Sus scrofa: one gene and its partners. The protein of the gene in region 4 interacts with the protein of the main gene of each other region in a biochemical or structural test. Links are inferred from orthologs where the notes say so. Each region holds a gene or a part of one and is shown on either strand. Other genes may lie near its edges.

The links.
Region 1: the proteins of ERBB3 (region 4) and SRC form a complex in vitro, tested with the Homo sapiens proteins (2 studies listed by BioGRID and IntAct, with this or other methods). The link is inferred for Sus scrofa from reciprocal best matches to the Homo sapiens genes ERBB3 and SRC.
Region 2: the proteins of ERBB3 (region 4) and NRG1 form a complex in vitro, tested with the Homo sapiens proteins (8 studies listed by BioGRID and IntAct, with this or other methods). The link is inferred for Sus scrofa from reciprocal best matches to the Homo sapiens genes ERBB3 and NRG1.
Region 3: the proteins of ERBB3 (region 4) and GRB7 form a complex in vitro, tested with the Homo sapiens proteins (2 studies listed by BioGRID and IntAct, with this or other methods). The link is inferred for Sus scrofa from reciprocal best matches to the Homo sapiens genes ERBB3 and GRB7.
Region 5: the proteins of ERBB3 (region 4) and SH2B3 form a complex in vitro, tested with the Homo sapiens proteins (2 studies listed by BioGRID and IntAct, with this or other methods). The link is inferred for Sus scrofa from reciprocal best matches to the Homo sapiens genes ERBB3 and SH2B3.
Region 6: the proteins of ERBB3 (region 4) and RASA1 form a complex in vitro, tested with the Homo sapiens proteins (2 studies listed by BioGRID and IntAct, with this or other methods). The link is inferred for Sus scrofa from reciprocal best matches to the Homo sapiens genes ERBB3 and RASA1.
Region 7: the proteins of ERBB3 (region 4) and SHC3 form a complex in vitro, tested with the Homo sapiens proteins (2 studies listed by BioGRID and IntAct, with this or other methods). The link is inferred for Sus scrofa from reciprocal best matches to the Homo sapiens genes ERBB3 and SHC3.

What each region holds. Positions count from the first base shown.
Region 1 is NC_010459.5:40,501,989-40,505,488, forward strand, and holds part of SRC (proto-oncogene tyrosine-protein kinase Src), read left to right. Parts: intron 1-244; 5' UTR 245-411; intron 412-1,860; exon of another isoform or gene 1,861-1,863; 5' UTR 1,864-1,867; coding exon 1,868-2,135; intron 2,136-3,156; coding exon 3,157-3,256; intron 3,257-3,500. UniProt on the Homo sapiens protein: Non-receptor protein tyrosine kinase which is activated following engagement of many different classes of cellular receptors including immune response receptors, integrins and other adhesion receptors, receptor protein tyrosine kinases, G protein-coupled receptors as well as cytokine receptors.
Region 2 is NC_010457.5:53,685,204-53,689,323, reverse strand, and holds the start of NRG1 (pro-neuregulin-1, membrane-bound isoform), read left to right. Parts: upstream 1-1,320; 5' UTR 1,321-1,586; coding exon 1,587-2,292; intron 2,293-4,120. UniProt on the Homo sapiens protein: Direct ligand for ERBB3 and ERBB4 tyrosine kinase receptors. Concomitantly recruits ERBB1 and ERBB2 coreceptors, resulting in ligand-stimulated tyrosine phosphorylation and activation of the ERBB receptors.
Region 3 is NC_010454.4:22,580,583-22,584,682, forward strand, and holds the start of GRB7 (growth factor receptor-bound protein 7), read right to left. Parts: upstream 2,801-4,100; 5' UTR 2,608-2,800; intron 2,588-2,607; exon of another isoform or gene 2,341-2,587; intron 2,335-2,340; exon of another isoform or gene 1,172-2,334; intron 1,163-1,171; exon of another isoform or gene 871-1,162; intron 300-870; exon of another isoform or gene 1-299. UniProt on the Homo sapiens protein: Adapter protein that interacts with the cytoplasmic domain of numerous receptor kinases and modulates down-stream signaling. Promotes activation of down-stream protein kinases, including STAT3, AKT1, MAPK1 and/or MAPK3. Promotes activation of HRAS.
Region 4 is NC_010447.5:21,472,745-21,477,017, reverse strand, and holds the start of ERBB3 (receptor tyrosine-protein kinase erbB-3), read right to left. Parts: upstream 2,801-4,273; 5' UTR 2,394-2,800; coding exon 2,312-2,393; intron 1-2,311. UniProt on the Homo sapiens protein: Tyrosine-protein kinase that plays an essential role as cell surface receptor for neuregulins.
Region 5 is NC_010456.5:32,621,926-32,626,110, reverse strand, and holds the start of SH2B3 (SH2B adapter protein 3), read right to left. Parts: upstream 2,801-4,185; 5' UTR 2,465-2,800; intron 1-2,464. UniProt on the Homo sapiens protein: Links T-cell receptor activation signal to phospholipase C-gamma-1, GRB2 and phosphatidylinositol 3-kinase.
Region 6 is NC_010444.4:94,970,115-94,973,614, reverse strand, and holds part of RASA1 (ras GTPase-activating protein 1), read right to left. Parts: intron 1,670-3,500; coding exon 1,512-1,669; intron 1,005-1,511; coding exon 928-1,004; intron 1-927. UniProt on the Homo sapiens protein: Inhibitory regulator of the Ras-cyclic AMP pathway. Stimulates the GTPase of normal but not oncogenic Ras p21; this stimulation may be further increased in the presence of NCK1.
Region 7 is NC_010456.5:833,291-837,332, forward strand, and holds the start of SHC3 (SHC-transforming protein 3), read right to left. Parts: upstream 2,801-4,042; 5' UTR 2,368-2,800; intron 2,221-2,367; exon of another isoform or gene 1,695-2,220; intron 1,247-1,694; 5' UTR 894-1,246; coding exon 438-893; intron 1-437. UniProt on the Homo sapiens protein: Signaling adapter that couples activated growth factor receptors to signaling pathway in neurons. Involved in the signal transduction pathways of neurotrophin-activated Trk receptors in cortical neurons.

The DNA of each region.
Region 1 (3,500 bases), on a different chromosome or scaffold from region 4:
TTCTTTAACCCACTGAGCCACAGTGGGATCTCCCCAAAGCCGTTTAACCACTGTGCCATACCCAGCCTCACTCTCGCTTTGGCAGGAATGAGAGATATTTCAGGTCTGGGTAGTTCTCAGCACCAGGCCTGCTGGAGTCAGAGCCTGATGAAATCTGATCCCAGAGTCAGAGCCGTGGTGATTTCTCTTTCTGATCCTATCCTCCCAACAGTCCTGAGAGGTCTGCTTTCTTCCCACTTTGTAGATGAGGACCTGAGGCCCAGAGAGGGGAAGTGACTTGCCCAAGGTCACCCAGCAGGGAGAGGTGGAGCAGGTCCTCTAGTGCAAGACCCTTGACTCCATACCTGGTGTTTGTGCTGAGACCTCGGGCTACTTCCCAGGTCCTCTGGGAGAGCCCCTGCCTTCCACCAGGTGAGGTGGTGACCTGTCAGGGCTGCCAAGTTGAGGGAGCTGGGAGGGATGGCTGTGGGGGGTGGGGGGAGACCTGGCCAGGCACGGTGGGTGGGAGCCAGGACCTGAGGATGGAGACATGGGAAGCGAAGAGGGGTGGCAGGGCTGCGGGCATCCCTGGGGAGTGTGCAGCTTGGGTGTCTCTCTGCTCCCTGATCTCTAGCCCTCCCAGATTTCTGGCTCGGAGATCTCTACCACTTTTTCCCCCTCTATTTTGGTCGCCACCTGGCATATGGAGTTCCTGGGCCGGGGATCAGATCTGAGCAGCAGTTTCGACCTAAGCCACAGCTGTGGCAATGCTGGTTCCTTTAACCCACTGTGCCAGGCTGGGGATTGAACCTGCACCCTGGCGCTGCAGAGACACCACTGATCCCATGGCACCATGATGGGAATTCCGGCTCAGAGAACTCTTAACTCTTGAGAGATTCATTCATTCGTCCAGCTGTTTATTGAGCACCTACTGTGCCATACATACCCTGTGTTAGGTGCAGGGAGCACAGCAGTGAGCTAGACAGGCAAAGGCCCATGACAACAATCATATAAACCCATAAACAACCCCCAAATCTGGGCCACATTTTATCAAGAAGAGGCACAAAAAGCAGAGGGACTTAGACCAGTGAAAGGAGTTGGGAAACCCTTCCCAAAGAGGTGACTTTTCCCCCTTGATAGCTGTATTGAGATGTAATTGACATACAATAAACTATACTTATTTAAGGTGTATAGCTTGATAATTTTGACACATGGATGCACTCACGGAACTATCAGCACAGTCAAGATCATCCATCACCCCTAAACATTTCCCTCCCATCCCCCACATGCTGCCTCCAAAGAGGTGACTTGACTTAGGCTGGGAACTGAAGGAGGCATGAGTTACTCTGGTGAAGGGATCAGGGAAGAGCATTCAGGCAGAGGGAACCACATGTGCAAAGGCCCTGGGGCTGGAGTGAGCTCCCAGCCATTTCTCCTTCTTCCAGCTGCCTGCAGTACCCCTGCCCTGGCTGCAACTTTTAGCACTTTCCCTCTGGTGTGAGACAGTTTCAGTCAGGCATGTATTAACTCAACAAACCCTTAGCCCTTTCCGATGTGCCTGGAACACAGATGTGACTCAGACACGGCCCTGCCCCCAATGGAGAGAAACAGTGACCTGGGAAGGTTGGGGAGGTTAGGGCTTCTGATTATGAGGTTTCTTCTGTGCTTGGCCCTGTACCAAAGAAGCACTTCATGGGTACCATCATTGTTCCCATTTTACAGATGGAGAAACTGAGGTTCTGGAAGGCTAATTTACCCAAAGAGACCTCTTTGAGCCTCAGTTTCCCTGTCTGTAGAATGGGTGGGAGTGCAAGCTTAGGGACCCCGGCAGCCCGGCCTGCTCCCTGAGGTCTTCACCCTAAGGTTCTCTCTCATCTCCAGCAGAACCATGGGCAGCAACAAGAGCAAGCCCAAGGACGCCAGCCAGCGGCGCCGCAGCCTGGAGCCTGCCGAGAACACCCACGGCGGCGGGGGCGGCGGCGGCGGTGGCGGTGGTGCCTTTCCCACCTCACAGACCCCCAGCAAGCCAGCCTCCGCGGATGGTCATCGAGGCCCCAGCACGGCCTTCGCCCCTGCGGCCGCCGAGCCCAAGCTGTTTGGTGGCTTCAACTCCTCGGACACTGTCACCTCCCCGCAGAGGGCGGGGCCCCTGGCTGGTCAGTGGGCCTGGGAGTGTGGGTGCCGGGTGCCTAAGCTGTCGGGCTTAGGCTGCTCTGCTCTTTCTCTCACTGAAGGGGAGGAGCCTGTGGGTTACTGGGCCTTGGGGACTGTTGGGAGTTGCCTGGAGGCTTTATAAACTGGAAAGTGTGGTGCACACTTCATTGCTTCTAGGGGTGAATCCGATGCAGAGCATAAAGGACCTAGAGATAGAGGACGATAGAGAGAAACTGAGGCCGTGAGAGCTGGGGGCTTCTCAGGGAGGCACAGGGAGCAGCTTGGAGGCTTTGCTCTTGGCTCTGGTCAGCCCAGAGAAGGATCAGGACTGGAGGCGGTGCGTGGCCAAGAGGGCGGGGCTCTTTGGGAGGGAGACGGGGGGCTTCGGTCTTCAGAGCCCCGCCGAACGCCGAGGTGCGCCCCTGCGCCCTCTGCTGGCGCCTTGGTAATATAGCAGTCCCAGGCACACTTCATTGCCTTTAGGGGTGAATCTGATACAGAGCATATCGTCCTAGAGATAGAGGACGAGAGAGAGAAACTGAGGCCATGAGAGCTGGGGGCTTCTCAGGGAGGCACGGGGAGCAGGTTGGAGGTCCTGAAGACGCACAGACCTAAGACCCTCACACAAACACGACACTTACTCGGACACCCTCAGACAGAGCCACACACACACAGAGTCAGTAGCTCATTCGGAGACACCCATAGAGGACCCCCAGGCTCTAGGATCAAAACAAAGATGCCTGTTATTGGGGGCTTCTGCTTCTATGGGAAAGACAGGTACCAAACAGATAAACCAACAGCTAGCATAACCTAGAGCCCAGTGGGCACACTCAGACACGGAGAGACACGCATGCTTCCTACACCTTTCACAGGCTTGCCTGGACCCCTGGACAAGGTGGGCATGCATAGAGGCCCGCCCCCTGTGAATGGGACCAGGCCTCTGGGCTGGTGGTAGGAGACCAACTCCGCCCCTCCCCCCAGCCAAGGCCTTGGCCGTTCTGACACGCCCCTCTTGCCCTGCAGGCGGGGTGACCACCTTTGTAGCCCTCTATGACTATGAGTCACGGACAGAGACTGACCTGTCTTTCAAGAAAGGGGAACGGCTCCAGATTGTCAACAACACGTGAGTCCCCCGCCCCCCCTTCCCCGTCACCCCTCTGGACCCTGATCCAGGGCCTGGTCTTGAGACAGACAGCTTTGAGTGACCCCAGAGTGGGGAGGCCAGCCTGATGGGCAGTGGGGAGAGCTCAGCATCAAGGCAGCCAAGGTCCAGGGAGCTGACCTGGGGCCTGCAGGAGTGATGAGGCAGGGGCTCTGGGAAGGCTCTGTAATTGGTCAACAGAGCACAGCGTTCCAGATCACAGAAC
Region 2 (4,120 bases), on a different chromosome or scaffold from region 4:
ATAGAATCCCAGAGTAAAGGATATTAAGTTATAATGCTTTTAAAATCTTAAGGTCTCATAATATGGATCAAGCAGGCCATTGAGTAACAAACAACCTCAACTTAATTTTATTAGGTCATTCAATATTTTTCACCATAAAAGAACATAAAAGAAATATTTTCCTCTAAATGCTAAAAATGTGTTCTTTCTGTTGAGTGCTACTTGTTTGAAAAGAACATCCTTGGGAGATGAAGGATTTCAAATAACTCCCTCAATCTGTCGGGGATAGGAGGGGATGGGACTGGGATGGGGTGAGTTAGGGTGGGGGGGTATGATATTCAGATGGCACAGTATTTAGCCTACACTTCCTCAGGTCTGAAATCCTCTGTTCCAGCAGGCACAAGGGCACCTTTCATTCCATCCAGTTATTTTTTAAAGAACTAACTAGTTGACAAAGTGCCATAAACTTTATACAAAATGGCCTTATTGAGCAACTATTTTATTCAAGCAACGATCCTAGAGGCAGGACTTCATCGGTCAGAAAATCATGGTGAATCAGGCATTTCCATAGGAGAAAAGGCAAGGATAATCTAGACAAGCGTCATGCAAAGCAGAGTGTGAAGGAAGCTTCAAACCCTAAGTGCTCACTGTGTGTGCGCCTTAGCAGGAGAGCGAACGACAGTTAAAGTTGTTTTAATTGCAGCTTGTCTCCTGCGAACGTGTTGCTCCCTTTGGACTCTCCAGTAACCAGTTCACCCAAAACTTTTCTGCCACGAGGCCCCGCATCTCCCGTGTGCCCCCCTTCCTTCCCTCGCCCAGCTAACAGGTCCCCAATGGCTCAAGCGTCACCTCTTAGTCCCCGGGAAATCTCCGCAGCCCACTCGGACTGCAGCTCAGCTCGGTTGCCGCCCGGCCCTCCCATTGCCGCAATCGGGGCGACGGGAAGGGAGGAGGTGCGCAGGCCAGGGCTGACCCCGGAGGACTGACTCGTGGGCCAGGCTCGGGCATCAGCATGGGGACGGGAGGCGCGAGCCGACTTCGCCCCGCAGGTAAACAGGCCGGCCAGGCGCAGGGCGCTGCCGCCGCCGCCGCCGCGGCCACCCAGCGATTTCCAGGCACGCAACTCCGCCTCCAGGGCTCTCTCCCTCGCGCTCTCGCCCCGCCGCCCGCTCGCAGCCTCAGCAACCGCCGCAGCATCACTTCACACAAAGGACTGTTACCCGCCGAGCAGCTCCTCCACCTCCACGTCCTCCTCCGGTGACAGCCCCGACAGCGGGGCTCCGGCGCGGCGGCGGCGGCGGCGCGGGGAGGACCTGTCACTCTCAGCAACCGAGGCGGTGGCGGCGGCTTTATTCTTATTATTTTTCTAATTTGGCTTAAAAAAAATTTTTTTTTGCCCTTATACCTCTTCGCCTTTCTGAGGTTCCACCCACCTCTTTTCTCCCTTCCTCCTCCTCCCGTAAACAACTCTCCCACAGCCCCCGCCAATAAATAAATTAGGAGGAGGGTAAAGGGGGAGGCGGAGAGAGGAAAAGGGAGACAGCGCGAGAGACCTAGGCAGAGTCCGAACCGACAGCTGGGAGCCCGCACGCACCTCGCACCATGAGATGGCGACGCGCCCCGCGCCGCGCGGGGAGGACGGCCCCCGGGCCTCGCGCTCCGACCCCGCAGCCCGCTCGCCTCCGCCGCCGATACTGTTGCTGCTGCTGTGGACCACGGCCCTGGCGCCGGGGGCGGCCGCCGGCAACGAGGCGGCTCCCGCGGGGGCTTCAGTGTGCTACGCGTCCCCGCCCAGCGTGGGCTCGGTGCAGGAGCTGGCTCAGCGCGCCGCGGTGGTGATCGAGGGAAAGGTGCACCCGGCGCGGCGGCAGCAGGGGGCACTCGACAGGAAGGCGGCGGCGGCGGCGGGCGAGGCAGGGGCGTGGGGCGGCGAGCGCCAGCCGCCCGCCGCGGGCCCGGGAGCGCTGCCCGCGAACAACCGGACTGTGCCCTCCTGGCCCCCGGCCCCGGCGCCCAGTGCCGCCGAGCCCGGAGACGAGGCGCCCTATCTGGTGAAGGTGCACCAGGTGTGGGCGGTGAAAGCCGGGGGCCTGAAGAAAGACTCGCTGCTCACCGTGCGCCTGGGCGCCTGGGGTCACCCCGCGTTCCCCTCCTGCGGGCGACTCAAGGAGGACAGCAGGTACATCTTTTTCATGGAGCCCGACGCCAACAGCAGCGGCCGCGCACCGGCTGCCTTCCGAGCATCCTTTCCCCCTCTAGAGACGGGCCGGAACCTCAAGAAGGAGGTCAGCCGGGTGCTGTGCAAGCGGTGCGGTAAGTTCCTGGCCCTGCGGGGCGCGCTCGGGCCGGGCGGGGAGGGCGCATTCCCGGGGCGCGCCGGGCGCTGGGGTTCCGCGGCTGACCGGTGGACGCGGTCGGAGCAGGGGGAGTTGCGCGGTGGGAGCCTCTGGGCGCCGCTCAGAGGAGGAGGGTTCGCGGATTGGATTCCGCGGGCAGTGCCTTCTCCGGTTTCCCGTTTTCGAGGCTTTGCTATTGGTGAAAGCCCAAGTTTGGTTCTGGCTTGGGGCCGCCTCAAACTTTTTAATCCCTTGGGGTTTCGTTCACCATGTCAAATGGAAATGGGCCGGCTGCTTTCTTGTTAGTGCCTTCTTGAACTTGGCTGTGGTTCTGAGTTGTTGAGAAGGGCGGGCAGCCATGTGGGGCTTTTCCTTTGAAACAGGAAGGTTTGGAACCTCTTCCCATCACTTAGGAGTCCGGAGTGTGGACTTGGTCAGGGATTTGTGCCTGTGTCTTTCCGAGGGGGAAAGGACGGAGCACTGAGTGAGATTCCCTTTGCAGCGTGGTAGAGTTTTTGTCCAACTCGGGCCAGCAGTCTGTACCTTGTGAATATGGTATGTGCGAACTATAAAGCAGGGTGTTTTCTTTTTGGTTGAAATCATCTCCAGAATTGTTGTTTTCACCATATTTTGGCTCGGAGAGTGTTTGGCCCGTCAGTGAATCAGAACAGATGAATGTCATTACGGAACTTCACATGTAGGCCCTTAAGGAGAATTTCGGAAGAGTTCAACAATACAAACTTCCCCCACCTTTTCCAATTTTACCACTGTAAATATTCTTCCCGGGGCCTTTATCAGTATTATCGGGTCTGAGAAATTACATTCTTAAAGTAATTTCTAGGTTTTAAATATTTGTAACTTCCTAATGTTCATATAATCACTAAAACATGGCAGGGTTTCTTCTCAAACCGTAAATTAACATGATTACACATCACAAAATCTAACATGCATAATAGATTTTCCCTTGGTCTTTATATATCTGTCTAATAGATGGGTTAATTGAATTTTTGCAAAACTCAGCATCACACCATGCTCAGTCTGGCTGTGATGCAAAGTGTCAGTTCTTTAAAATTTGTTACAGGTGATGGCCAAGTGTGCAATTTCTGATTGGCGTTTTGTGGTGCCTCTGTCCTGTGGTTAATTAATGGCTAGAGATTGGGTTTTAATGTCAGGAAAGAGCTCTGCTCATCCTCCCTTTCCTTATTCTTAACAAGGCACTTTGTGTGCCACAGACTTGTTAGGATTGCACCAGTCTGTGGCCAGAAGCTGTTCTCAAACAGTGGTGCTGAAGAAACTGAGTGGCGTTGGGATTCCCTGGGTCTGGCTGATAGATGTCACTGAGAACACGGGAAACTCTCTGCTGGGAGCTGTCTTATTAGGAAAGACAATAGCTCCACACCATTGTCTTGCATCTTATGTTATTTGGTCAGAGAAGCTGAAACAACCCTTTTGAGCCACGCCAGCATCCAGTTTTCACATGTTTTAGTCTATGCAGTTGAGGAAGGATTTTGCTTTGACCCCAAACCACAGGCGTTGTGAATCATTTACTACACATAGTGAAAGTTAGCGTAGAGGGGATCATAGTTAGCAGTGATGCCTAGGATTGTGGGGTGTGTTGCTAGGTGAGCAGTGGTGTTATGCCTGTTAACTAGAAAGATGGCAGTTTTCAGAGGTAAAGTTCTTATAAAGGTCCAAAGGATGTTTGGAAATGGAAAATTTGTGGAGGAATACTATTCTGTTTTCATGCTTCTAGGCTGAAAAAGCTTCGCTGAAGGTAGTTTTGCTCTTCTGTTTGCCAGTCAAAG
Region 3 (4,100 bases), on a different chromosome or scaffold from region 4:
GGACCTACTATGGGCTCCTGGCCACTAGCCCAGCCCAAGAGCCCCCTCACCCAGGAGGGAGAGAAAAAAGACCTGGCCCGGATTCAGAAGCCCATCTGAAATGGAGTTAACCTCTCCGGGGTGCCCCTCACTCTACATGCAGCAACATCCTCGCCTGTCTGGCCAGAGGTGTACTCAGGAGCAGGAGTGGAAAGTCAAGAACAGGAGTTTCCGTTGTGGTGTAGGGGAAAAGAATCCGACTAGTGTCCAGGAGGATGCGGGTTCGATCCCTGGCCTCACTCAGTGGGTAAAGGATCTGGCGTTGCTGTGAGCTGTGTTGTAGGTCAGGGCCCCGCCCCGGAGCTTGGATCCCTCTTTGCTGTGCCTGTGGTGTAGGCCGGCAGCTGCAGCTCCGATTTGACCCCTAGCCTGGGAACTTCCATATGCTGTGGGTGCGGCCCTAAAAAGCAAAAAAAAAAAAAAAAAAAAAAAAAAAGAAAGAAAGAAAGAAAAAAGAAAGTCAAGAACATACAAGAGGACTGACAGGCCGGCAGGGAGGGAGAGCAGGGTCCTGCCGGAAAGGGGACCCCACGCCCACCGGGCGCCCATCCACACCAAACACAGGGCCCCCTCCCACCCCCAGCCTCCTCTCTGGCAAACAGCCCTGGTGACTTTATTCCAGGGAGGACTAGGGGAGGGGCTGCAAGAGAGATGAGGTGGGAGTAGAACCGGGTCCTAGCCCTGGAGCCTGGGCAGCGCACCCCCCCACCCAGCCCCCTCCGCATCCACAAGACTCTCAAGCTTTCAAACTGGGTCCCTCGCTAAAGGCTCTGTTTAAACAACTAGCCTCGCAACTCCATCTGTCCCCTCAACACTGCGTCTCGCTCGTACCTGCGGCTTCCCCAGGAGCCTCTCCTGTCCCGGCGGCTCCAGCCCCACCCTCTTGCCCGCCCTCCCGGCCTCCTGCCTCCTTGTTTACTTCCTGAATCTGGCCCCACCTGGCTGGCCCCGAGGGCGGGTGGCAGGGCCCACAGTCTAGGGCCGGGAGAAAACAAGGCCACCTTCCGTGCCTCCCAGGTGGGGGGAGGGGCCGGAACAGCCGAAGCCTGAACCCCCGCCGGGAGGAGGCGGGAAGGCGCCCTCCAGGCCCAGGACCCCGCGCCCCCTCCCTGGAGCGGGGGGGAGGCCTTACCTGTCGGGGAGCTCTTAGGGCGAGGGCCCAGGTGAGGAGGCGGGAAACCCCTAGGTGACCCGGAGTTGGGGGGAGGGCCCGGGACCCTGAGGCCCCGCCCACTCCCTCACTAAGGGGAAAAAACACCCAATGGGAGTGAGGGGGGGCAGCTCTTTTAAAGTTTAATTTGGGAAGAATGCTAGAGTGTCTGCGAAGTTAATCATTACAGGCCGCTTGCCTTCACGGGGGGCCCCCCCAGCAGGAGAGCAGGGGGAGAGGGGAGAGCAGAGTCCAGGACGGGCAGACCAAGAGGGGGCAATCCCGAGGGACAGCGGGGTTGGAAGGACTGACGATGGCGGGCAGGTGCACTCTCCATCCCCGACCTGCCCGGGAGGCCCAGACTCGGACCCGGGTCTTTCCCCAGCCGCTTCAGACAAGGCACTCGCCCCCGCCCCAGGCACGCGCGCACACACTCCCCAGCACCCCCCACCACACACACACACACACGCACACGGCACTGCGGATCCCCCCGCATCTAACCCTCCAGTCTACCGAGACCACATCTTTCGGAAGCCAGGAGGGACCCCCCGCCTGCCCACCCCCACCGTCCCATCCGAGGGCATCCTTGTGGCCGAGTGGGGGCTACACTCCAGAGAGACGGCGTTCTGGCAGTTTAGGGAATCCTTGTCCCTTACTGCCCTCCAAATTGAGGGTGCCCCCGTGGCCCCCGCGGAGACGACTCTTTCATAAAGACTTGGGGGAACTCAAGCTGCGGTCAAATCAGACAGAGCAAGAGAGAGACTTGGGGCAGCTCCCTCGGTATCTGGACCCTCCCCTCTCAGCTCTCTTTCTGGGAATGTGGGGAGGGGCTAGTTTCAGCGGGAAAACCGCGTCTCCAGGAGGCGAGAATCTGTGATCTCGCTTCCCGGCCCCGTCAGCTGGTGAGTGTGCGTTTGGGATGGGGGCGACCTGGGTGCGGGGAGTTGCGGAGAGGGTCGGGAGGAGCCGGGAGGGCAGGAGATGAGAGTAGGGAAAGACTGAGGGCAGCTGGTGAGGAGGGGGCGGGATGGGAGGCTGGAGGAAAAGAGAAAGTGAGGCCGCCAGAGCAACCCAGCAGGAGGCCGAATCTTTTTCCATATGGACCCTGGGGCTCCCCACCCCCAAGATGAAGTGTCCGCTTTGGTCCTTACCTGGACCCTGGGCGTTGGTACACCGGGCTGGGGCCACCGATTTAAGGAGGAAGACGCCAAGCCCTTAACTACCTGTCCTCCTCCTGTCCCCGCCCTGGCCTGACATCACTGAGCGAGGAAGGGAAGGGGGAGCCAGGCAGACGCCTGGCCGCCCACCTGGGCAGCCAGCCAGCCAGCTCTTGGCCCTGAGACTGGCACAGCCTGGGGCCCTGGTGCGGCTAGAGGTGGGAGCAAGTTGTCTTCTGGGACGAATCTCCGTCCCCTTACCTGGAAGAGCCCCAGCAGGAGTCGCAGGACACAGGGGCTGAAGTCCGGCTCTGTCTAGGAACCTCAGGTACCTGGACTTGATTTCAAATCGGCTCCCTCTATTCTACAGGTGGTAGGAGGGTGTCCTGACTTTGGGCACAGAAGGAGGGGGAAGGCTGAGCCCTGTTGTCCAGGCACCTTGCCCAGGGAAACAAATTATCTTGGGCAGGTGGGGGCGGGGCACGGGGGAGGGGCGTGGGAGGAGGAAGCCCAGGAGGAGGGGCGGGGCCTCCCCAACACTACGCTGGCTGGGATTGTTTTTGTCCTTAGGCTGGCAGCAGGTGACTGGGGAGAGGCGATTGAACTGAACTGAGCAGCCCGAGAGCGAAGGTCCTCACCACCTGGGAGGGAGAGGCTGGGGGCTAGAAGGTCAGGGGAAAGGGCCCCGCCCACCCTTCCCAAACCTGGAATGTTCATTGGCCAATTTAGGGGGCTTGACTGCAGCTCTGGGGCCTACCCCCCTGGGGCAAAGGGCGACTCTTCGAAAGCCGGAGGCCAGCCAGAGGGGTGTCCAGCAACTTGGCCTGCCCCTTGACCTCCAGCCACAGTCTGGCCACCCAGCCTGCATCCTGGCCCCTCGGAGGCACCTGGGCTAAATCCTGTCTTCTGAGCAAAGTCCAGGGTCTCAGTCTCCTGAAATCCAAGGGGTTAGACGAGGTCCCCTGGTGAGAGGAGTGATTTGGGGAAAGCTCTGGCCAGGTGCTAGGGGACTCCCCTTGCGCTCTCCTTCAGCACTAGGCAAACACAACGGTGAAGAGCCCGCCTGAGAGGCTGAGATCAAAGACAGTAGCCACCTCCCAGCCCAAGCGGGTGACAGTTGGATAAACAAACAATTCATAGGGGTGATAAGAGGTCTGCCCCCCCCGGGGGGGGGCGTGGAGGAGTGGCTCCAGGCTCAACTTTCTCCAAACTGGGTTTTCCTTGGAAAAACCAGTATGAGAGGACTAAGCCAAGAAGTGAGGGAGGGGCGAGGTCACCTGGGCCACAGAAGCGTTTGTGCAAAGCGCAGTAGACCATTCACTCAGTCACTCCTTCATTCACTTGACTAATATTTGTTACGTACCTACTATATGCAAACCCCATGCTTGGCACTGGGGATACAACAAAATGACCTGCCCTTATCTTCATGCAGCTCCATCACAAAGACTTATGTTAATCAAAGAATACACAAATAATAAGAAATGGCACGAGACAACTACACTGGGAGAACAACTTACCTGGGAGGTTGGGAAAGACTTCTCCATGGAAGTGACCCTGGAGCAGGGGGGAAGTTGTCTTGGGGCAGGGGACAGAAGTGGATTGATGGATGGGAATGTCACCTTTCATGATGACAGAACAAGCGCCAAAGCCCTTGGCAAAAGGGGACAGAGCATCTAGAGGCAGAATGGGGGTGGAGAAGGAAGGACAGGAGGCCTTACAGGTGTGGCTGAGCAGGTATGGAAGGTGTGGCGAAA
Region 4 (4,273 bases):
AGTGGGAGGCAGGAGCGGGAACGGAGGAAGGGAGATTGGTGAGGCCCCAAGCCCTCCTCCAAGATGCACCCCTAGTCTGCCCACTTGACCTTTGAAGGCCTTCTATTCCCTGTCACACCTCCTAAAGGGAATGGGATGAGCTAGACCTAGCAGAGGGGTAAAAAGGCCAGGCGCTCCCAGAGGAGCCTGGGAATGCTAGGGTCCTTGGGCTAAAAAGAAAACGACTAGGAAGGTTAGTCATTTCTGGAAAAGCCCCACCCCAACCCCCTTCCTGGCAGGACACCCTCTCTTCCAAGTCAAGGCGCCAACCCTTCTCCCCTGATAAGGGAGGAGCCAAGATTTCCACACAGGGAAGCGGGATGTGTGCGTGTACACACACACACACACACAGACAAACATGTACACAGCTCCCCTACTGGCCCCAAAATCTCTACTGGTTCTGTCCTTGGGCTTCCTTATCAGGAAGTATTTCAGGTGGCCCCATCCATCCCACCTGCCCATATGTGTCTGTGCAGACTTTGTGTCTGTGCTTGGGAGGCTACAGAGTAAGATGTCCCAGTTCCCTGCCTCCCTGAGGGTAAAGTCCGTATTACACAAACAGAGAGCAAAGGGCTGGGTGGCTGGGCGGGAAGAGAGTATGAACAACACCTCTCAGGAGGAACTGGGCAGCCTGGGGAGGAGGGGAGGGGGAGGGGAAATAGACCATCTCTGCTGTACTCAGGGACCAGGGGCCTTGGGAGAGCCAGTGTCACAGGCCCTCTTTTGGTAGAGAGCACTGGGGTGGGTCAGAGCAAGAATCTCCAGCCCCTCTTCAACCACAGGCCTCCTCTCCAAAGTCCCCCACCCCCATCACAGGCAGGACAAAGGGGCTATAGAAGGACTGAGACAGGGCCGGATGCCCAGAGGCTGCAGGATCCAGATAAAGGGTAAAGAGACCCAACCATGCCTGCCTCCTGTCTCCCTCGGGGAAGGTGGCCAGGGTCTGGGACTCCTGGGTTCCCGGTTGGGTTGAAGATTCCAGGGGTCTGGATGGGACAGTGATAGAGTCCCTCCATTCAGTCTCTCCCACTTCAATCCCCAGACCCCCACCCTCCACCAGCTGGGAGTGTTCACATCTCAAGATCCCAGGCTCTAAATTTAGGCCCAGCAACTGTGAGGGAAGCACAGGTGTTTCTCCCACTCCCACCCTGGGGAAGGGGCCCTGGCTGTGCCAAACCCCAAGCTGAGGTCTGGGGGGGAGGGGAGGAGAGCAACAGGATTCCTCCCATGCCAGCAACCCCAGCACCCCTCAGGTGTCCACGGTCCCAGAGACACCCCAAAGGGGTGAGTTCAGCTGGCATGGGAGTAGAAGGAGGAATAGTGGAGCAAACTGACTCTTGTCTAGACTCCTAGAGACAGCCAGACAATAAACAGAATGGGGGGTGGGGGGGAAGCTGTGTCTAAGAAGGAACTCGGAGGACAGGCGCCTCAGAAGATGGGAGAGGAGCCCTGTGGGCCCTGAGAGAGAAACAGCCACTGGAAGTCCTTGCCCCTTCATCTCCTGGCCCAGGGCTTTGTACATAGTAGATGCTTAATAAATACCAGTTGAATTGATCGGGGTCTTAAAAACAGGTTGGTCGAGTCTGGAACCAGCCAACTTTTATTATTTTGAGAGAAAGGAGGCAGGCAGTGTTTGCGTGGCCTCTCAACCTGCTGTCACCTGGACTTGGCCCTGGGGTTAATCTCAGCTCTCCCCAGGGCAGACCCACTCACGGAAGAGGAGGTGCTGCTCTTGTTTTCCAACACAAGAGAACAACAACCTACCCCCCCCCACACACACACCCCTTCCACAGCTCCGCCCTGTCGGCAAAACAACCAAACTGGAGGTGGTGGAGGGCAGGAGGGGGCAGGAGGGGGCAGGAGGATGGGTGCAAACCGAGACCCCCTCTCCCCGCCCGGCTCCCTCCAAGATCTCCACCTCCAATCAGGCCCTCACGTTTACAGAATGGGGGTCCTAGCTCCCCTTCCTGCAGGGTCCCTCAGAAGTGTGAATGTTTGCGCATCAGCCCTATCCCGAGAGACAAATCAGAGGGTCCGCGACGGGCCAGGGAGGAGGTGCCCAGGGGAAGGTGGTGGTGCAGGAATCCTCTCCCCGCCCGGACCACGCCGAGAACCCGATCCTGACGTTCCCCGCCCAGGAGGGGTCCCAGCGGACCGGGGCTCCGCACCCCAGCCTAGCACAGCCCGGGTTCCTGCCCCTGCCCTCCCGGACCCCGCGCGCTCCGCTCGGGATCCCGAGTTCCGAGCCTGCCGGTGCTCCCGCGCCGCTTACCTGCCTGAGAGTTGCCCACCTCGGAGCCCCGGGCCAGGCTGAGGAGGAAGCCCAGCACCTGCAGAGCCCGGTTCGCCCTCATGACTCCAGCGGCGGGTGAGGGGAGCCCAGCCCAATCCGGCCGGGGGAGCCCCTGGACTAGGACATCGAAGCGGAGCCACCTGAGCCACCAGCGACTTGGTAGCGGCAGCAGAGGAGGTTGCGAATTGCAACCGGAGCCGGAGCCGGAGTCCGGGGCGGGATAGCAGGGGAGGGGTGTAGTCTGCGAGGGAGCGAAGGAGGGAGCGCAGGGGGAGGGGGTGAGTCACGGCCGCGCCCCCTCGGGCGCTAGGCTGGAGTAGCGATTGCTGGAGCCTCGGCGGCCCGCCCCGAGCGCGCCCCAAGCTCCAGTGCCGGGCAACTGGGGCCACGCAGATCGCGGATGGGTCTCACCCTAATTTTTCTCCAGGAGCTGGACTAAGGAGAGGCCAAGATTCCAGCCGCCCCCAAATGCCTCCCGAGGAGAAAGGTAATGGGGGTGGGGAGAGCGCTCCAAAGCCCAGCCCCCTGCAAGTTGGCCTCGCCCACCAACCAAATCACTCAACTCCCCTAGCCGGTTGGGTCACTTGGGGGATTTTCTATCTGAATGTAAATGTTTCTCTGCATGTGTGTTTTTGAGTGGGAGGGTGTTTTTGCCGCCCACTCAGGCCACCTCAGTTTCCCCCAAACCCCCTCGAAACCCCATAACTCATCCACCCTGCCCAGGAACCCGAGCCCCAGAGGCCGCGTGAAATTGCACTGTCTCCGGCCGCTTCCTCCTCCAGACCCGGCGCCGGCCGGGCCTCTCCCGGGGATTTGGTTGGGGGGCGGGGGTGGCTTCCAGCCTGGGAACAGACCCCGAAGCCCGCCTTTTCACTTCCACCCCGGGAGGGGCTCCCGCACCTGTCGCCGTCCCCTCTGTTGCCCCCCACGGCTGCCTGGAAGAACAGCTGCCTCCCCTTGAACAAGAGTCTGACCGCGCCGTCGGAGCGGTCGCGGTCCTCGCCGCTCTTCGGGGGACCCAGATGGGCACACCGTTCCCACCACAGGCGCTCACACTTTTCCCAGGCCTTCTGTGCCCGGGTGTCGCTGGAAATGAGGTGGAGGGGGACGCGGAAAGGGCACTGCGTCTCCGAAAGTCATGAACCTCGGGCACTTCTACCACCAGCTCCCCGGATCCTGTCCAGAGGCGGTCCGGCGCACCCAGAGTGGCAGCCCCCAAGCCAGCCAGACTTCAAATGGATCCAACCGGCACCCCCTGGTGCCCAGCAGGTGGCAGTGAGGCCCCAATCCGCGTTGCATTTCGGATCTTGCCCAGAAAGCCTACTTTTTTCTCCTAGAGTTTCAAGCCCGAAGACTTCAAGAACGGTTGAGCCTTGATTAAGACAAATTCAACCTCTCACCCCGAGTCAAGATTACTGGCTAAAATTCTTTAAACTTGCTCCGTATTGAGATGCGCCCTGGAGGGCCCATTCCTTGGCGGAGGCTACCTTTGCCCTCTGGGCGTTCACCTTGCCCTGACCACTTACATAACAGTCATAATAGTAATAGAAACATTAACATATATATACGGAAACTACGTCGTTTGCAGCCCTTTCCTCCAACTTAGAGAACGTTTCACTTAACATACAAATTAGGTGAATTAGGGGACATCACTCTCCATTTTACAGAGCTGGAAATGTGGGACTATTCCAAGGTCATTCATTTGCCACCTGGTGAGGATGGCTGAGATGATAAGATGATCAGAAGGGGGAAGGCACTCAGGTTTTTGTTTTTGCCTAGAATTAATTTCTTTCTTTCTTTTTGCTTTTTAGGGTTGAACTCACGGCATATGGAGGTTCCCAGGTTAGGGGTTAAATCGGAGCTGTAGCTGCTGGCCTACACCACAGCCACAGCAACACAGGATCCATGCCGCCTCTGCCACCTTTACCACAGCTCACAGCA
Region 5 (4,185 bases), on a different chromosome or scaffold from region 4:
AGCCATCACTGAGTGCTCTATGTGCCCTGTCTCCCCAACACAGAGTGGGTCACACTGGGACTGGTAGCTGGAAGGTCCTTCCAAGTGCCTCTAGCCCCTCTGCCCTCAGGGAGGCTCCACCTGGGGTGGCACAACCAGACAGGACATGCAGGAACTCCTGTAGGCTGAACAGCTGCAGGGCTACCCAGCACTTGGGCTTAGGCTGCCACCACATTAGGAGCTGTTCTACAGGATCTAGATTTGTACCAGAAAGGTCTGTTTGTTGGAGAAAGATGAGCCCAGGGTTCAGAAGAATGGGGGTTGGGGGGAGGGGAATCCCTAAGAAAAACAAGCAGAGCTAATATCCACAACAAAGATAATAACAATCTCACCCTTATGACCATTCCTTCTTCTGACCAAGTCATTCTAAACAGTTTGTGGAGTTACTAATGTATGGTCCCAATGACCCTAAGAAGTAGGTCCTATTACCACACCCATTTGACAGATGAAGAAAGCAAGGCTGTGATGGTTAAGCAAGGCCTCATAGCTATAGCCTCCAGAATTCTCTCCAAGACTCAGGAAAACCCAGAGCTGCACCTGCGGGAGGCACTCAAGGGAGGCTGATGAATTATCAAGGGATGCTGAGGAACCAAGGCTCCTCAGCCGGTAACAATAGCACTAACGATGGTAGGGATGAAATCCACCACCAGCACTGCCACCTGTACTTGATCCCTTTCAATGCCAGGCACATTACATTCCTGCCACAAACTTATTACCCCATTTCACATAGGGGGAAACTGAGGTTCACCGTGTCACTTGCCTGTGCCCTCAGCTAGAAAAAGGCGGTGGGGAAACTGAACCTAATCTTCCAGGACCCACCTCTGCCGCTGCTCAGCCCCTGAAGGTCCTCAGACGCCAGCAACCGATACTTTAGTCCAACCCCTTCCCAGCCGGCTGCCTCTGTGGCCCACAGGGACCCACACAAGTTCTAGGAATTTCACCCTTTGGCTCAGAAGGATTTTCCCTCCCAGAGGGGGGGTGGTGGGAAAAGGCTCCGAAAAAAACTACATTAAAAACCCTTCCAACTTCCCCAGTGGGCCCTGGCCTCTCATCTGCTGACCCCAGCCTGACCAGGCGGCCTCAGCCTGCTCTCCCCCAACTAGGGCTGGGTCTCCGGCCCCCACTGGCCCAAGTGAGCCTCCAGAGCTGTTTCCATTCTGGCAGCCAGGTCGGTGATGGGAAATCCAGACACAACTCGCACCCACAGCCCTAAAGACCCATGCGTTCACCGCCCTGGCAGGGGCCCGGGAGATGGACTGTAAATGGGGACCCAGGATGGGCTGACTGTCCCAGCTGAGCCTGGCAGCTGGTAGGTGTCAGGGGATGCTCATCTCCCAGGTGAGGGGGTGGCAGTCAGATCTCTGCCCCTCCAGCTCCCAAAGCTGGACCCAGGCCCTTCAGAAATGGCTTTGCCAGGCCCTCTGTTCCAAAACCCCTGCCTGCAGCCCAATTTCACTTCCTCCCACTCAGTTTGGCCTGGCCATTCCCCTCCCTGGAGGCCCCCAGCTGCAGGCAATGACCTCCTCACCTACATCATTGTGGCCCAGGAATAGGGAAGAGAAACAGGAGAATGAGGAAACTAAAGAAAAAAAGTGGACTGGCAGGCAGGGCCCCCTCCCCAGTTCCTCAAATGCAGTCCCTTTTGCCCCAAAAGTCCCAGGAACAGAATGAGGGAAGGGGGAGGATTTCTGCACCAGGCATTATTAGGGGCCTCTGAAATACCCTCCCAGCCCTGCTGACCTATAAGGCCAATGACCTGTGTCCCATTGTTTTTGGTGGGAGGATTCCCCTGGAGCCCCAGGTCCAGGGTGGGAGGGTACCAACCCAGAGACCTGAGCTCTGAGAGCCCTAACCCTTTTGAACCCTCAAATGCAGCAGCATAGGGTTACATGGGCCATTCTACCTCCCGGATGCAGGGAATGGGGAGAGCAAGTCCTGGAATGGGAGGGGAGGGCTACCCTCTTAGCCACATGGGCCTGGCCAGGGAGAGTGGGGAGGGGCCTGAGTCTAACTCCCGAATGACTCTTCCCTTCTCAAGAGTTCAGGTTTACTACTTTCGCTTTCAAGGTACCAAGCAGGTGACCCCTGACCCCTCCTCACCAGGCACAGTTGACTGGCTGAGCTACCTTAAGAGGTGGACTGGGACTGTTAGCCATATCCTCTGGCAGCGCCTCCCGCACGACCTTCACTTATACCCCCATACATCCCCAGCACGTGTGTGGGTGGGGTGTCGGCTGGGAGGGTGTCGCAGGAGCTGGGAATCGGTCACCTCAGAACACTCTCATCTGAGTTAGCTGCAGGACAATATTTAGGTTGCTGTGGGAGTGCGCAGACACTGTGTAGAACGGGACCCGGGCCCTCCTCTTCCCCCCATTAAAGCTCTCCCAGACCCAGAGGAAGGCAGCGCTGGGAAAGACAGGCTTACCTGAGAGAGAGGGGGTCCGGGCCCGGCCGGCCCATGGCGTCGCGCGCCCCTGGGCCCCCGAAATCCCGAGGGGGCAGGCGGGCCCCAGCCCCGGGCGCCTTCTCTCCCGCGCGCCGGCTCCTGGCTCGCGGCTCGCTCGAGCGGGGCTCAGGCAGGAAACCCAGGCTCGGAAAATGGCCAGCGCCTCATCATTTCCGCCGCCAGCGCTTGACAGTTGCGGGAGGATGCGCCTCCCGGCCGCCACCGGGGAAACTTTGCTGCCGCCGCCGTCGCCACGGCGAGCCGCGACAGTCCGGGCGGGCGGCCGGGCGGAGGCAGTGGCCCGAGCCCATGCCGCCCCGCGCCGTTATGTAAAGAGGAACCGGCTGTGAGAGCAGAGCCCGGCGGGGGAGGGCGGCCACGGCAGGGGCGGGGCCATGGCAGGGCCGGGCCACACGAGGCCCCGCCCCAGTCTGCCCGCGAGCCGGACCGCTAGAGGGGAGCAGGCCCCCGGGGGGCGGGGCCTGCTCTTACCCCGCCCATCATCCCTGCTCCGCGGTTGACCAGGTCCTGGGGTCTCAAACGCGAATCCGGAGAGAGGGCGTGGCCTTTGTCACGCCCATAGCTCGCCCACCCGATTTTGCATCGCGCAGCCTAAAGAAGGGAACGAAAGGCAGGAGAGGCGGGACAACCTTGGGCCCACCCACCTAGCTCCAGCGACCACCGGGTGCCTCCGCTCTGCGGGGGCGGGGCCAGATGAAGGAAAGGCGGAGTCTAAGGGCGGGGCCGGGCCGAAGCGCCAGACTTACGGGGGGCGCGACCCTGCCGACTCCCTCCTGCAGGGCCTTATCTGCAAGCGCCGGGCCGGTCAGTGCAATAGCGACCGCAGCTTTCATCATCACCCGGGGAAGGATCCCAACCCCGCCCGGCCCAGACTATTGACTCTACTGAGCCGACCCCCATAGCGCCCCCAGTTGGGTTCTGTCCCCACCCTCAGCTTTTCTCTTGTCTCAGCCCTTGCCTCTATAGACTGGCCTCTATGCCCTCATCTGTCCCCTAACTCCAGGAGCGCATCATTCACCAGGAAGCCCTCCTAGACCGCTTGCTCCCATGCCCTCTGGGCCTCCTCCTCTGGTCTCCTCCGGGCTACTTTCATTTTATCTATGAGCCTTATGTGGGGTGAGGTTCACAGTGGGGTCCCCAATTAGCCTGAGGTGGAGCATACACACAGCCAGCCCTTCCCCCAGCTCATGAGAGGGAGGAGAGAGAGGAATGTCTGCTCTTCTCTCCCTCCCACAACAGGAAACAAGTTGCTCACACCCCCAGCTTGCGGGGGGCCACATCACCCCTTTCCAGACAGCATACTCTTCCATTCCACTGCCTCCCCCTCTTTCTGGCCTTGGGCAAATGACTTGACTTCTCCATACCTCCATTTCCGCATCTGTGAAATGGAAATAACACCTTTTCACAGGGTTGTGAGGATTAAATGAGTTAATGCATTAAAGAGCGGTTAGCAAAGGGCTCTGCCCAAGGGAAAACACTGCTGCTTGAGTGTTTGTTAAACAATCAGGCCTGAGTCCTGCCATTGGAGCTACAGGAAGGGATTCCCCCAGAAGGTGGGGATTTCCAGATTTCACCCAGATAGCGGAAGGGGGCCCGTCTGCTGTAGGTTCCTTGGAGTTCAATAACCTTGAAGAAACTGGCCACAATCACGTGCTTTCCACAAATATGTATTCAATACC
Region 6 (3,500 bases), on a different chromosome or scaffold from region 4:
AGGATAGATGTGTGCATATGTATAACTGAATCACTTGTCCAGCAGAAATTATCACAACACTGTAAATCAGTTATACTTCAATAAAACGAGAAAAGAAAACAAAGTGATATAGTTGGAGAAGAGGTTTTAATTACTGAGAGTAAAAGTGGGGAGGAGTGGATCAGGAAAGGGTCTTTCTTCTGTGTCATTACTACAGGGTTAGATTCTATCTTAAAAGTAATGAAAAACCACTAAAAAATATTAAGCATTTAAATAGCATAGAAATCAAAGAATAAACATTATTTACAGCAAAAAAAAATTCAGCCTTTGATTCTGTTAACATATATCCCTTTTTCCCTCAAGCCTAACCTTTAAGAAGATATTTAAGTGTTAACCTAATTTACTATGATGTGAATCACTAAATCCCACTGCCATCTGTTTCTAAAATAGCCTGTTTCAGGCTGGGAAAAGGTGTGCTGAGAACAAGCCCTGACCACCAGAAGTGACAACTGTCCTCTCGTTTTAAGAAAACTTTTTAATAGACTGCTTTTGGCCACTTACATGCAATGTATAGGAAAGCAGGAGAAGCCTACAAAGTAAAAAGAAGGGACAGGGAAGCACCATAGACAAATGACCACTGTTAGTGTTTTCTTGTTCTTCTCATTCATTGGGGAGGGAGGGAGAACACTAATTTTAAAAGCTTAAGTTTACAGTATATGCAATTTAGCCATCCTGGTCTTTTTTTTTTTTTTCCCCCTTTCTTTTTTAGATACATTCTTTCTCAACAACCAATACTTTTAGAGTACAAAAAGAAAATATCTCAAGTTATACTACTTACACATCTTTTAAATTTTCATTTTAGAAAATACCTCATTATGAATTTTAAAGTATATGAAACATCCTTTTTTTTTTTTTTAACTTTAGAACACAATTTCTGCATGAACTTACAGATATCAGGATCTTTGCTTTTCTTTGTTTTATTACTAAGAGTTATTTCAAATCTGTTGATGTCAGGAGGAAGATCACTAAAGGAGCAAGGAGAAAAAGAATTAAGAAAATATCCTGGCATCAAACTATCAAATTTGTTTATTCTTAGTATCAAATAAATCCCCATTTCTGCTATTAACCCAGTTGAGAGTGCTAGTTTTAAAACTAGATTCAAAACATGTTTTATTATTTGATACACAGGAATACAGACAAGCAAATTATACTTTCCCTAACATCTTTAACTTCCTCAAGTAAATCCTGGAAACCCCTGGAAACATCCTATATGTGTATGTTAGTAAATGGTTCTGGAAGTGTCAGTTACAGTAATTCCTATTAATAACTAGGTGAAAAACCAAGGATATAGCACTTTACTAATAAAAGTGAACAAATACAATAGAAAAAGTAAGTATGTATTATTAACAAGCCTGGACTTGGTACCTGTTCTGACTGGTTTAGAAAAAGTCAAAAAAAAAAAAGAAAAGAAAGAAAGAAAATGCATTATAGTAAAAGAAAAGCATCTAATGTAATGATAAAATAAGACTTACTCAAAGACAAACTCTTCTGACCATACAGGGTTTTGCCCTTCCCTTGCATGAGTTTTTGCTACCTGGACACTATTCAGGTAGATGTTACAATATGGATTAGTAAAATGTTTTACTGGGAGTTTATGGGCTTCTTCAATATGTAAAACAAGACTGCTGACCTAAAGAAAACACAAAAATTATTACCCTAGATTTCAAGAAGTATGCATTAGGTTTCAAAGGCAACTATTACAAAATAAAAACCCAAAATAGTGATTTATTTTCTCTCCTTTTTTTCCAGAAAGCATGACCTTCAGTTATAGTTTCTCTTTTAAGTGACATAAAATACAACACTCACATAGTCGTCCCACTTAAAAAAATAAATTCGATTTTATTTTATAAGTTATTCCTCCAATTATATTCTTATATATTTTATAAGTTATTCCTCCAATTATATTCTTATATTATATATATTCCTCCAATTATATTTCTTGCAGAAATAAACACACCTTTTCTACCATAAAACAATGGTTCAGAGAAAAATAAAGTTGAGGATTCTTTACTAATTTAAGTAAGCAACTGTCACTACCCAAATCAAAATCTCATGTTATATTAATGTTCATCTGGAAGATTTTATTTCTATACAGAGTTCCACAGCTAGAAAGTACACTTTAAACACTGGTTCTACCTTCTCCTCTTACAGAAAAGGATAGAGATCCAAAAAAGCTAAGTCATTTTTCAAGTTGTGTGTGCGTATGTGGGTTTGTTTGTTTTTTGTTGTTCTGGCCACGTCTGTGATATGTGGAAGTTTCCAGGCCTAGGATCGAACCCAAGCCTCAACAACAACCCAAGTCACTATAGTAACCATGCCAGATCCTTAACCTGCTCCGCCACAACACAACTCCTATTTTTCAGTTTTGATGTCAAAAGTTATACTCTCTAGTATCAGGTTCTCTTTCACCCCTTCCACCAATTACTTGTGTGGCCTTGCACAAGTAAGTTTCTGAGCCTCATCTTCCTCAGATATAAAATTAGAATAGAGTCTACACTGTTGGAGTATAGATTAGAAATGATATGTACAAAAGCACACAGCGGAGTACCTGGTACATAAAAAAGGCTCAAGATATGTTATTATATCATTATGATTTATATTATACCTACAAATGATAATTTCTTGCCTAAATTTTCACACAAGATACAATCCACAAAAGTTCAATCTGATTTTCCATAGCTTACAAAATGTTAAAATATGTTTTGAGAAAACAGTGATTATGCATGTAATTAAATGTCTCAAGGCAAAGGATCAAACTTCTAGCTGCAGGGACTATAACTTAGGAGTCATCCAAATAATAACCATTTATCCACTTTCAGTAGAACAGTATGTTAAATTCACCAACCTTATTGGAATTCCCACAAATAAAACAAGTCACCTTGGTCAATAAATATTGTCTAAGGTTTCCTCAAAACTCCAAGAATGTTAAATTTACCTAACTTTTTCCAATTATCTAGGGATAACTAAAAGAAAAAAGCAAAGAAATCAAAGGAATAAAGTTCACTTTACATACCTAGAAAAAAAGAGAAAGCCTAGTTTAACTCTCCATAAATGAACATATAGGACATGTTAAGGTTTCAAATAACATGGGATACTACCTATGAGTTATGCAATAAGTTTCAAGAGCAATTAATGAAAAACCCAAAAGTTTACTGGATTTCGTACTTTCAGTCAAATGATCATTTTCAGTAAGTACCTTTAGTTTTACTTTTTTGACACAGTCCAAAATAATTTTTTGAAAAAAAAAATAATGAAAGTGCCAAACACAATAGTTTCTGTTGTTGTTGGCCTGCTGTTGTTAATTTAAGTAGAAGAAAAAAAGTCCTTGGTATGTTTTCAAAAGATGGCATTATGGACTACATACCCAGAAGGTATGTAAAAGAACATTCTCTTTCATGAAGAAACAACTATTTCTCCTGCTGCTGAAGCAAGTGGGAGCATGGCTTAAAAATACCTGAAGA
Region 7 (4,042 bases), on a different chromosome or scaffold from region 4:
CTAGAAATTCTTGCTGTGGGAGAAATGAAACCACCTACCCTGCCGCCTGGGGCAAACACAGCAGAAGTAGTGACACCAACTGCCTTTCTCACAGCTGGGGCTGCCCAGTTCTTCCCCCTGTACCCTAGTAGGCCTGAAGCACAGTTTCCAGGCATGGCGGCCCATGCCGAGAGGGGTACTGGCTGGACACAAGACCAAGTGGGGTGGCAAAGACATGCCAAAGGAGCGGGGCCAAGGGAAACCAGGACAGACTGAGGTCACTGATCTCAAACCTTCTCCCAATGGATGCGCAACGGGCGCGTTAGCTGTGCCTGGTCCCCGCTGCCAGGCGAGCTGACTACAAACAAGTGCGCACCTCCTGACCTCCAAGACGACCCACCGTGCCGGAAGCCCCTGTGCCCAGGCTTCCCTACCCTGTCGCCCGCGCCCGCACCCACCTTGACGACGTAGGTGACTCCAGCCCCCAGCACCTGGTCGTTGGCGTGCGGGGCGCGGGGCGGCGGCTCGTCGCCGGGTCGGCCCTTTCTGGCGGCGCGCATGGCCGGGGCGCGGGGGCCGGGGGGCGCGCTGCCGTCCGGGGCGGCCAGGCTGGGAGCGCTGCAGCTGCCCGAGAGCCGCGCGCCCGCCCGCTCCCTGGCCGCCGACAGGCCGCGGAGGCCCGAACTGGAGAGTTTCAGGTGGGACACCTTGTGGAGCAGGTGGCCCAAGCTGCCTGGCCCATCGTCGGGCGCCCTGCGCAGCGCGTCTCCGGACACCAGGTAGGGGGCCGCCGCCGGGGCTGCGCGCGCCGCCGAGACCTTGCCCCCGCCGCTCACCGACAGGTTGTGCAGAAGGTCATCCACCGATGTCACCGAGTCATTCCTGAAGCGGTTGTACTTGGTGCGTGGAAGCATGCCCCTCCGTGGGCTCGCCGCATCCGCCCGGGCGCTGCAGGTGCCGGCCCCGGCGCGGGCTGCCGCGCATAGCAGGCGAGCCGCGGTCCCCGGGGCGGGACGGAGCGGCCGGGACAGCTGGTTGGGGGGCGCGAGCAGCGGCGCCGGCCTCCCACCGCTAACACCCCGCACCGCCGCGGACGCGCAGCCCCGGCCCCGGACTTGGCTGCTGAGGGCGGCACGTTTGCTTTGCAAAAGTCATAGTTTCCTCTGATGAGCGCCCAGCTGCTTGGGGCTGCTCACAGCAAAAGCATGACTCACTCCGAGAGGAGACCCTTCTCAACAAAGGCTCGGTGAGCACTGCAAATCACTTCCTGTAGCAAAAAAAAAAAAAAAGGAAAAAAAGAAGAAAAAACCACATACACCCACTGACAGCACACTAGAGCCAATCAATTCTCAAATTTCCTTTTTCTACCTTCCCAGATATTTTCTTCCAACCTTTGGTTTTTCACCTCCCCATCCCTCGCCACCCCCCACCCCCACCCCAGCATTTGTGCCAGAGGTAAATCCAGTTCCTTCAGATGATCAGATGAACTTTCTGAAACCTATTATTCTAGGCTATGGTTTTTTCTTCCCTGTTCAGCCCATCTGTGAGCCTGGGAAAGCAGCTGACGGCGCTGCCTTAAAATGTGACGAAGGCTTTTTAAGAATAAGATCTTCAGTGGATCCTCATGAATTCTGATTTTGAAAGCAGGGAATTGTTAAATAGCCCCCAAAAAAATTTTTTTAAAGAATATGCACTCCCAGGTAAATATAAAATACCAATTTCCAGGTTTTTCTTTTTTCTTTTCAAATCGACAGAGCGGCCATGACAAGTGTCTTTGTGGCAATGCAGTTCCTCAAAAAAAAAAAAAAAAAAAAAAAAATCTGCATATGAACTTCTGCACAGAGCCAGTTAGGGTCTCTTCCCTGCTAATTTGCAGCAGTCTCTCAGCCAGGGCTAAGTTGAAAACCTACTTCCGAAAAAGAAGAGTGCTTCTTTGATAAATGGCATGAAACTCCAGAAATCTATTCCAAAAAGGGGGCTGCGCTTGAAGCTTTATTCCAACTGAATGTGCTCAAGCTCTGGAAAAATGCCCAAGAAACGCTACAAATACATTTCAATATCCCTTTAGTTGCTGCTTGCAACCCTGCAGTAAGAAAGAAAAAAAAGATGCAGCTGCTCTCATTCCACATCAAATCCACAGAAAAAAATGCCTTATTTTCAGGAGTCAGATACGGATTGCAAGTGAAACGCACAGGCCTTCCTGACCCTTAGCAGCACAGAGCCTTGCTCCCACCCCCTCCCAGAAGGTCTGCACAGACCAAAACCCCCAGACTCCTGTCACCCCAGGCTCTGCCAGTCTTCATCATGCCTTGACAGAAGCTGCCCCACTCAGTAAAACGCTGCCTGGCCAAGTTTCCCGATTACTTCCGTGCAAAAAAATGAATTTACCTCTAGCACGTTATCAGGTCACCCTGAGTCTTCTCACACCCACGACTAGACATGTGACACTTGAGGTACCAAGCCTGGAAGAGCTTTATGGAACAGGGTGTAACGGGTACCACTCAGGGAGGGCCAGGTGAAGCCAGCTGCTGGAAAGCAGAAGCGCAGAGGAGCAGCGGCTCCCCTCCCAGGGCCGCAGGCCTAGCCGAGCAACCGCCTGGCACTCATTTTTTTCCTTCCCCTGGCTTGCATAGCAACAGCACACGCACACCCCAGAGATGATTGTGATGGTTATCGAAGTCCCCCCACATCTAAAGCAAAAATGCCCTATCATTCCCCAATCGTGATCTTCATTAGAAGCAGACAAAAACAGCAAAATATGAATGAAATGCTGTTTGTGTGAATGAAAGGGCTAGCGAGCGAGCCAGCGTTTCTGTGAATGAAGCAGGGCCTTGCAGCCGGCGCCAGGCAATCCCCTGGTTCCAGCGGCTTCAGCCAATGAGCAGCCGCCCCGATGACTCATTCAACAAAAGCTTGCTCAATAGTGGAAGATTCCATTTCAATCAAAGGCGGGATCTTTCATCCAACGGCAGTGTGGGAAAAAAAAAAAAAAAAAAAAAAAAAAAGCCAGCCTGATTACAAAGATGCTGGGCGCATGGGGACCGCTGTCATGAAGAGAGGAAAAACTAGTTTTTCAAGGAAATTCCAGAACCACTGGTCAGGTAGAAGTATAAACAGAATTGCCCTCTTGGAGGTGAGCTCTGCCCTAAAACTTTCATTCAGCCATTCATTTACATCAAGGAATAACCATGAATGTTCCATTCTGTTCAGCATTTATTATGAATGTACAGTGAATGCACATTCAAAACCTAGGCTAGGCTCCTTGCCCTTGATTCTTTTTTGTGAAAGGAATATAGAACAGGCCTGCATGTTCTCTGTCTCCAGGGAGGAAAAAAAAAAAAAACAGCTACAGTGGTTAACCCTTTAGCCAACAGGAGATTCCTAATTCTTTTGTTATGATGAGGCAAGTGGAGGGAAATTGGCCATTTTAAAATAGAAAGAGCGACATAAATTTCCTGCCTGTAAGAGGATATATAATCTCAGAGAGTGAATTAATATTTTAAGAATACAGTAGTACAGTAAAACCTCACTTATCAGAAAGATGGTATTAGCATTTTGGAACATAGGAGAAAAACACAAAGACCATCCCCAAAGCTTCTAGACAGCAAAATAGAAGCTGCAAGCCCAGCCAAGAAGCCCACGTCCCTCCCTTCCAGGACAGCCCTGTGGACTTTTCACTGGGGGCTGCTACTGCTTATTTTAGACTTTCTTCCAAAAAGCCTAAGTACCAGGTTTATCAGCCTGTGACAACATAGAGATGAATGATGGATGAAATATTCATAGCCTGGTGACAGAGACAAAAAGAGGAAAAAAGGAAATCTTTATTACGTCAGCCCTGAGACTCAAGAAGGCCAGGCTGCCTGTGCCCCTTCCAGAATATTTCAGTTGTTCTTTTAAAATCTATTAATTTAAAAATGTATTGAGGTAAAGAACCCGACCAGTATCCATGAGGATGCAGGTTCGATCCCTGACCTTGATCAGTGGGTTAAGGCTCTGGCATTGCCATGAGCTGTGGTGTAGGTCACAGACTAGGCTCAGATTTGACATTGCTGTGGCTGTGGTG